Bombyx mori: one gene and its partner. The protein of the gene in region 2 interacts with the protein of the main gene of each other region in a pairwise test. Links are inferred from orthologs where the notes say so. Each region holds a gene or a part of one and is shown on either strand. Other genes may lie near its edges.

Evidence for each region.
Region 1: the proteins of RIMS-binding protein 2 (region 2) and protein unc-13 homolog A interact in a two-hybrid assay, tested with the Drosophila melanogaster proteins (2 studies listed by BioGRID). The link is inferred for Bombyx mori from reciprocal best matches to the Drosophila melanogaster genes Rbp and unc-13.

The regions. Positions count from the first base shown.
Region 1 is NC_085127.1:10,041,866-10,046,409, reverse strand, and holds the start of protein unc-13 homolog A, read right to left. Parts: upstream 3,088-4,544; 5' UTR 2,742-3,087; intron 1-2,741.
Region 2 is NC_085122.1:8,934,897-8,938,790, reverse strand, and holds part of RIMS-binding protein 2, read right to left. Parts: intron 3,041-3,894; coding exon 2,967-3,040; intron 1,824-2,966; coding exon 1,443-1,823; 3' UTR 1-1,442.

The sequences.
Region 1 (4,544 bases), on a different chromosome or scaffold from region 2:
TAACGAGTTTATCCAATACTACAGAAACAAGCGAAAATATACCTAAAGTCAAACTGTTAGAGGCATTTCATTCACAAACCACCCGAACATTAAATTAGTAACATTTTCAAACAGCATACGTTATGAGGACTCAAACTATTATGATAATTATAATACAAATCTAATGTTAGATTTCTTGTTGCCGAGTGTAGTTATAAGATCTTTTCCGGAAGCTACTATTCACGTGCACTCCGATATATCTATTAGTATGACTTATTAATGAGTCGACTATAGGTAAAGCTTTTTACGACAGTAAAAATATGTAGATTATCGCTATAGAGTTAGCAATGTAAAATAAATTTATTCGACCTAACAATTCGTGAAGTAAAACTACTAAATTATCTAGACCTTTCAGAGAACGCTCATTTCAAGAGTTAATGTTACGGAATTAACCACTCAGATCCTATTCACATAAACATTGGCTTCAAACACAAAGCCAGTACGAGCTAGGTTAGCACAATGTCATTGTACAGTCCTCTATACGTAAGATAGGACAAGCTTCGGTTGTAATCCTCTAATTGTCTGTCGACGGATCGGTCAGGCCACATTAATTACACGAGACTTCAGCCAAATCGGCCATCAATCAAGGCAGAGCCCCGCATCAAGATCCACAACATCCATTAGTGTCAACTTGATCTTATCCAGCTGGTTTACGCAAACTTTTAATTTATTTCGCTTTTTACCGTTTTATAATTGATTGATCACTTGAGAAGCGATGCACTTACAAGTTACCTTTTTTCATTTAAGAACCATATTGGTATTCATGTACAGGATATTATTGTAACTATTAAGCATTATTAGATTTGAATAGGCTGCCCAACCATCCAAAATAATAGAATTCGGTCACAATGACTTACAACAATAAGCAACAGAATTATTTATTCATTTTTAGGAAAACTAAATATGTTCTTTCCGCTTTTGATACATTATTAATTTATGTTCGTTATTCAAAAAAGATATGAAGAGATTAACATTATATACACTCTTCGACAGGTCAAATGTAATGTAGTGACTACTATTATAGTAATTTTAGTGCATATTGATATACTAATTAATAAATTTCATATGTCATTAACGTCTAAGCCACAATCACAAAAGCAAAGCTTAAATATCATGACACAGTGAAGGTGGAATATAATAATTGTGAAAATATTACTATATAAATAATATCGACATTAGTTTCTTTTTCCATAAATGTGTGGCTAACCACACCACGTGGTGTTAAATGGTTATCGAAATCCATCAATCAAATTGGAAATTTCAGTGTATTCTGAGACTTTTTCTTTTTAAATAAATTATTGACAATTTGATGACATCTTTGCTGGTGGTAGGATGTTGAAAGTCGACTCTAGTAAGGACCACTGCTCTGCTTATGTCTGCCTTTTGCAATACACATGAGCTTTTAAGTTCATGTCTCAAGGCAAACGGCAATGGCGCCATTGAAGTGGTCACATTTAGTGATTCAAGTAGTCAATTAATATTAGATTGTCAACAGCTCTAAAAATGAGGATTACAAAAAAAAAAACATTTTGATATTATAAGGAAAATGAACCATTTCGTCAAATGACTTCTCGTTATTCAATACTGTTGCGGACAGCTATACAAGTCGTTCTCAGAATCTTGATTTCCTTCTTCGATTTTCGCGGTTGGGTCATTCAACTCAGAAATTGTAACCAACATTAATGAAAAATGAAAAAAAGGATTATTTGAATATTTAAGGTTTGTTTTTCGTAAATTAAATAATTAAATTTTTTTTGTTTCGTGTATTTCCAATACAACAAAAAAATATGTTCGAGGAATTTTGAATAGTAAGCCAATAAAATAGGAACGTAAAAACTGAATAATTAGTCCAATTTATAACACTGAATGTGTTAAAAATAAGTCAGTTTTTAATATGAGAGCAATTATCATTTGTTTTAATTGATCTGCTAATAATAGTAATTAATAATATAAATAAAATAATATATAAATAATAATAAACAATAATAATATAAATAATTTTAATAATAAACATCTAGTAACTTTCGTAATGGACTTAAACTTAATTATTATAAAGTTATGTTCAACTTCGACAATAAGTGTTCAATTAGTTCGCTTTTGTATATTTTATTTTAGTTTTTCTTGTATGATCCACGTCCGTAGCAAATCTTGTAGCGGTTATGCTACGAAGCGTCTACGCGCTACGCTTTGAATGAAACTTTAAAATGATGACGACGATACACGTCCATCAAAGTTTTGGCATAGTTTAGAACTAATTACGAAGTACTCGGTGAGCTGTAAATTTACGTGAAACTAGTTGGGAATGTATTTAGTACTTAAGATTGAAATATTATAAGTATAAATCAGAAACTTGGATAGAGTTTGAAATGACTGCGTCATTTAAACCAGTATTTCTCATTTAGTTTAATCTACTCTTGCCATTAATTATTTTAACAAAAAGAAAAATCATGCGTTCAGATTTTAGGCGCGCAACGTTTGTTTTAAAAATGACTGAGTTTGATTCAATTACAGAAACCAGGCCTCCGATTACGAATGTAACGAGAATACATTCCGTCAATGAGTTTTGTCATTACAACGTTCGTTATATAATTGATCAACTAATTACACTAGAGGAATATCCGCCGTGTCACACACGATTAATCACGTGGACATCGGCGGCGTGAACCGTCACTGCACTGCACTATCACATGTGATTTGTTTACCGCACGATTATCGGGATCGGGTAGGATATGGGTGTCGGAAGGCGGTCGGGCCGCCACGCGCGGCCGACTGTGTCGTATGGCCGATAGAGTCGCATGAAGTGCTGAGGACGCGGCCGCCTGGGCCTCCGGTAGCCGATGCACTGGTGCGCGCGCCGCCATCGACGCCGCCCGCTCGATATCGAAGCGCCGCGCCCCTCGTCAACGATGTATACCACCTGTGCGCTCCGTCACAACACCACGCCATGATCTTTCGCAGCCGACACCAACGATCTTATCCCTACCAGAGTAATCGTGACCTAACGTATAAGATGCTTAGTGTATTTGCGTTGAGTGATGCGACTATACGAGGGTTCAATTACCGAAGGCGGGTACCAATTTTTATAAAAAAATTACCTAATTTACCAGGTGCTCACCAACGTCTTCTAAGGAGTAATTTCGCTTTGTAGATATCGAAACCGCAAAAAATTAAAGTTTGCGTAAACAATGGTAAAGCGTGTAGCCACTTCCATGCTTTTTGTTCCTGCCATGAAGCAGTCATTCCTTCCAACTTTATATCATATAACACTATTTTAATTTGCTTACATATATGTAGGTAGACAAAAAAAAACAATAACCCTTCCCACGCTTTTACCGGTTTGAAAGATCTTAATTCCCCTGGGCACCGCAATTTGTAATAAAAACATTATCTCAACTACTAATGTTTTTCATGATAAACTTTACATAGTATAATTGAAATGCCTTGTAGAACAAAATCCGACTTAGCCTGCCTCGAATTACGGCGTAGCGCAAAATCCTCAGTTTATCAGACTACGTTCCTCCTCGGCGGTGCTTAAAACATAAACTATAGTTCACACAGCTTAAATTAGGGCGGATTCCGCAAAACTGTAATAACAGCGTTTATGTATAACAATATTTTACACTTGCGCACAGATAACATCTAAAGTTAAGGTCACGTAGCGCCGGGGCCCTCGCTTTGAACGCAAACACTTCGAAGCTGTTTATCTTGTTCATAACATCATAACACCCAAAAAGACTTAGGCACTTGCCGACACAGGTATAAAATGAAATGAAACCTGGAATGTTTGCCGAGAGAAGAATTTTATAGTTTTATTACCACTGAAGAGGAGTGCATCTACAGTTATGAAGATTATATCGAAATTTATTTTTCTCGTGTGGATTTTGTAGTGTTTTATTTAGTAACTTTGCTTTTATTGTCTTGAGTGGCCAGTTTCTTTTATATGTTGCTTTCATGGGATTTATTCTCTAATAATGAACGAGAGAGATAAATACACTTTTCTCTTGTTCACTTTTAAATATTTGAATAAAAATTGTGTATAGTTACGACTACTAAATCAGACGTCGAACATTACAAGCAAGCGTGTACCACTAATAAAATGCGGTCATAATTCACGTGCGGTCACCCCACAGCCTCATAAACTCTCTCCAAGCAATATAATCCCACTTTTGCAGGATAGCCTTCGAAATGACATGTAAGGAATTTAGATTTGCACGACGACTTAGAATTAAACCTAGTATATAAGTAAACTAGATTACTAAGTAGCTGAGCGAACACTTCTTCGAGAAAGTGGCACGGCATGATAACCCTCTTATCGTAGCCGCCACAAATTACATCCCGTACCCCGGACGATGGAGCAACAAACAACCGCCGTCGCCCTAAACATATCTTTCCGGGTCCTCTCGATCTACTCTCGACGCTTTAGGCATTTCAAGCATCGGCTATGTACCGTTCGCGTAAAACTCGTCAAATGTCCGACGTGTAACTTAACCCGTACTGAACTACTC
Region 2 (3,894 bases):
ATTCATTACGCAGTCAAACATTATTTATTATGGTGATCATTTATTAAAATAATTAAGTGTACGTGATATTATTTTGGTAATGAATTTCTAACTTGAAATCAAAACACATCAGTGATGCATTATTGATTTATAACTTATATAAAATATCTTCTCCATGCAAGCAGTCTTGTCATTGGGTTAATTCGCCTTTGTCATAAATGTTTTTTTTTATTATGAACCTAATACCAGATTAAACGTTAGACGTGTTTAATTACGTCTACGGCTTTTGGATACGTAAGAAAAGTAACTATTATATGAAGTTTCCTTCGTAATATAGTTCTTATCGATACACGATTATCTATTGCCACAATAAATGACAAGTTATTGTACATCTTCTTCGAATATAAAGTTCAATTTCAAATGGCAAAAATGCGAACGAATTTCCTGTCCAATGCAGTCGAGAATGTTTTGTGTGAAGTAAATGTATAGTACAATTAGAATATAGATGGTATCACGTCTACTATCACAGTATCTTAGTTTCTATTCGAGAATAATTATTATACCTTAAAGGGATTCAATTACTTAATCGATTTTAAGGTATATAAATTTTACTGACAGCATGGAATCGAGATGAAAGTGAAATTATGACGTCATTTTTTTTAAAATTAGCTTTCAAACTTTTCAACACTTCACTTTTGCAAATTTCTATAAATAATAAAATACGTGTTCCTGCTTTCCATACAATATTTTTCATTGACGATCATGACCGCCGAACGTCGATTAAAAGTCAATCGATATTTTTTTAAATCGATTCCGTTTATTTAAAAGGGACGGTTGCACCATAGCATTGTACAAAGATTAGCGTTAACAAAACATTTATCATAAACAACAATAACTAATCGTAATTTTTCCGTGAGATCAGACTTTAGAGGAAGTTCACATTCTTGTTCCGCTGTTTTATAATATTTTCAAGGGCTATTCACACAGCTAGCTAGATTTAAAACGTAAATTAGAAAATTACAACAAGACTACACCGTAAGGAATATGAAGTAACAACTAGACGGTAACATTATAATTTCTTATTCTACGCAAGAAATAACACAAGTCAAACTCTACTATCGCATAAACAATAACAATGATATAATTCATATTTATTTCTAACCTAAGTAGTTAACGAGCAAACTTCGGAGATAGAGAAGCTTTAGATATAGGTACAACTATTCCCAGATGTCTGAGCTCCATCCATGAATCTACCGAGATAGCACTAACGATCAGATATCCACTATACTGTGCGTGTATTGCATATAACTATTTACAACATGCCTAAATTAAATACAAGCTCCACGAAGAGCCGGATAGATAGTTTGGATTAGCCGCAGGAGTACCAGCCAGTACCAGGGCACCGGGGGAGTGGACGAGACAGCGCGGCGGGAGTCGCACGCCGCGACCCCCTGCGACCGACATTATTTACCACCGAGACCGAATTTCATGAAGATCAGTTCTTTGCCTTTACTAAGAATGTCGCCACCGGGTGCCGTCATTTCGGAGAACTTCTGCATCAGGTTGGGCTGGGATGAGGGGGGCTGCGCCGGCGTGAGGGGCTGCGCGGAAGGCACGACCGCTGGACCTCCGCGTCTGGTAGTTGTTTGCGCCGTAGGACCCCCCGTCGTTGTGCTAGTGGGCCCGGTCGCATTAAGCGGAGTGCTCGCGGAGTTGTTGGAGGTGGGGGGTCCGCTGGGGGGTGCGTTGCCGGGCGACTGGACGGTGGGGGTGCCCGCATTACCAGCGCTCGTTCGCGCGATCGTGTTCGGGGGCTGTCCGCTCGACGCGCCTCTCCCCCTCGCCTGTTGCCAATTATTTATTATTTCATCGTACAACCACAACCCTATTTTTGTAACAGGAATGTGAAAAAATTAAATTTTTGCCTGTGAAAAAATTTATTTTGCAATTTATGTGCTTCAGAATAGTTAAATTTGAATAGAGAATGTGACATCTATGATAATTTTACTTTGAAAGAACGATATGTCACGATACTTGCCATATCGATGCGTTAGAATTTACTGAGTAGAATAAGTACGGTTACATCGTTTCCAATCCAACAGGGAAAAGAAGCATAAAATGGAATTTCTGGTAATAAATTAATTCGTACCTGTTTTTTTTTTTGAAATTTTATTTTCAAACTGTTTATTTTGATGTTTTATCTTGAGATTAAATTTATTTATATCACTTGTAGTACAGACAACATTAAGAACGCGTTGGATTTCGTGCTTTTGACTGAACATGCCGTTTCCATGCACCAAGCGAGTGAAAGATACTAAATCAAAATTATTCTTACTTTTATAAACGCGTCGCCGCGTCGTGATCTAATTATTGATCGAGATTGAGACATGCATCTCATGCTTTGATAAACTACAACAGAAAGCATTTGTGAGAACGTGTTATAATATACTACCCGATTAATGCAAGTACTTCGGACCGAAGTACACACAAATAGGCATGTCATTGACAAGTTAAAATAAAACGCTGTAATCGTGTAGACCACATTGACAGGCCTCGAATGCTTATGCAGTCACTTAAAAAGATGGTGATTGAGCTATTGTAAATCAATGTGAGTGAAGTATGCGACAGTGTTAATGTTGAGTACTTATAGAAACTGGTCAGCATATGTTATGAGAGCTAATGTGTCTATATTCTGGTTCCGTTCGTTATTAAATATAATAATATGTAAATAGTAAAGGACCAAGTACTAGCGATCAGTTTCATTTAAAAACGCCCTCATCTGTACACTGAGCGCAGCGTGAAACGTAACGATAAAATATTATAGAGAAAAAATTAAAATAAAAATGAAGAAAGGAAACAGTGAGAAAACAATAATTCATCTAAATATATGAAAGTGATAGTTGAACATAATAAGACTAGTATAATTGCTTAGTTTATCTGAAGTAGTAGTTTTTGTGGGTTCGATTTATTAAACGGTAAATTTTTACCTGAGAATTCGCCTGTTCTGGATTACTGGCGCATGTGTTGTGGTCTAATTGAGAAGGGGGAAGAGGGCAGGCATCTAGCAAACAGACAATACACCCAACATATATAGTGACCACAGACAACCACCCGAATCTTGGATCACACTTCACCGACACCGCGGGCTCTGTGCAAGTCTATGTTGCGTGTATTTGTACGTCAGCCTACCCACTCGTGTGTGCTAATTACGTGTGGAGCCTCACTGGATTAGACCTCACGGGTTAGGTTAAACAAAAATAAAGATAGGATAGATAATTGGATAGATTAAACGAAAAACAAAGAAAAAACAAAAAATAATAATACAAAAAACAAAAAAAACTATTTCGCATTTTCCCTATTCGATACATGTGGGGGCGTATCGTGTGACCTCATCTTTTTTATAATTTCTTTAAAAAATTTAACGATTTATGTGACTGTGTAATCCAAGATGGTGTTTTAGCAAAATGTATACACCAAGAGTCTTTGTGCTCCGTAGATTGCAACCGGACTTGCATTTGTTTTAAACATTAAATCTTTGCTGTAAATTTAAATATTATAACTAACAAAATTCGGCAAGTCCCGTCGCAATCGTACAAGAAAGATGATAGAGGTTATCTGAGCGAAATAGCTAGCGTCGTTCGATAGTCACATAGCAAGTCCAAGGTGCAAACATGAAACACTCAAAGCTCTCAATGTTCGGGACGGACACGCTTCGTCAGTCGCCGACACTTACCTAAACAATGGGGACGCCGATCGATTCGTCAACTTTGAGAACCTTTTGCTTTTTTTAAACTTTACAATAATTATTGAAGCTGCTTAAAATACAAAATAAATGTTTCGAAACGTTTTATTCCTTAGGTCGTTGAGCCTGCATCGACGAACCGATCGTCCCATCTCAAGTTCGTATTAATCAGC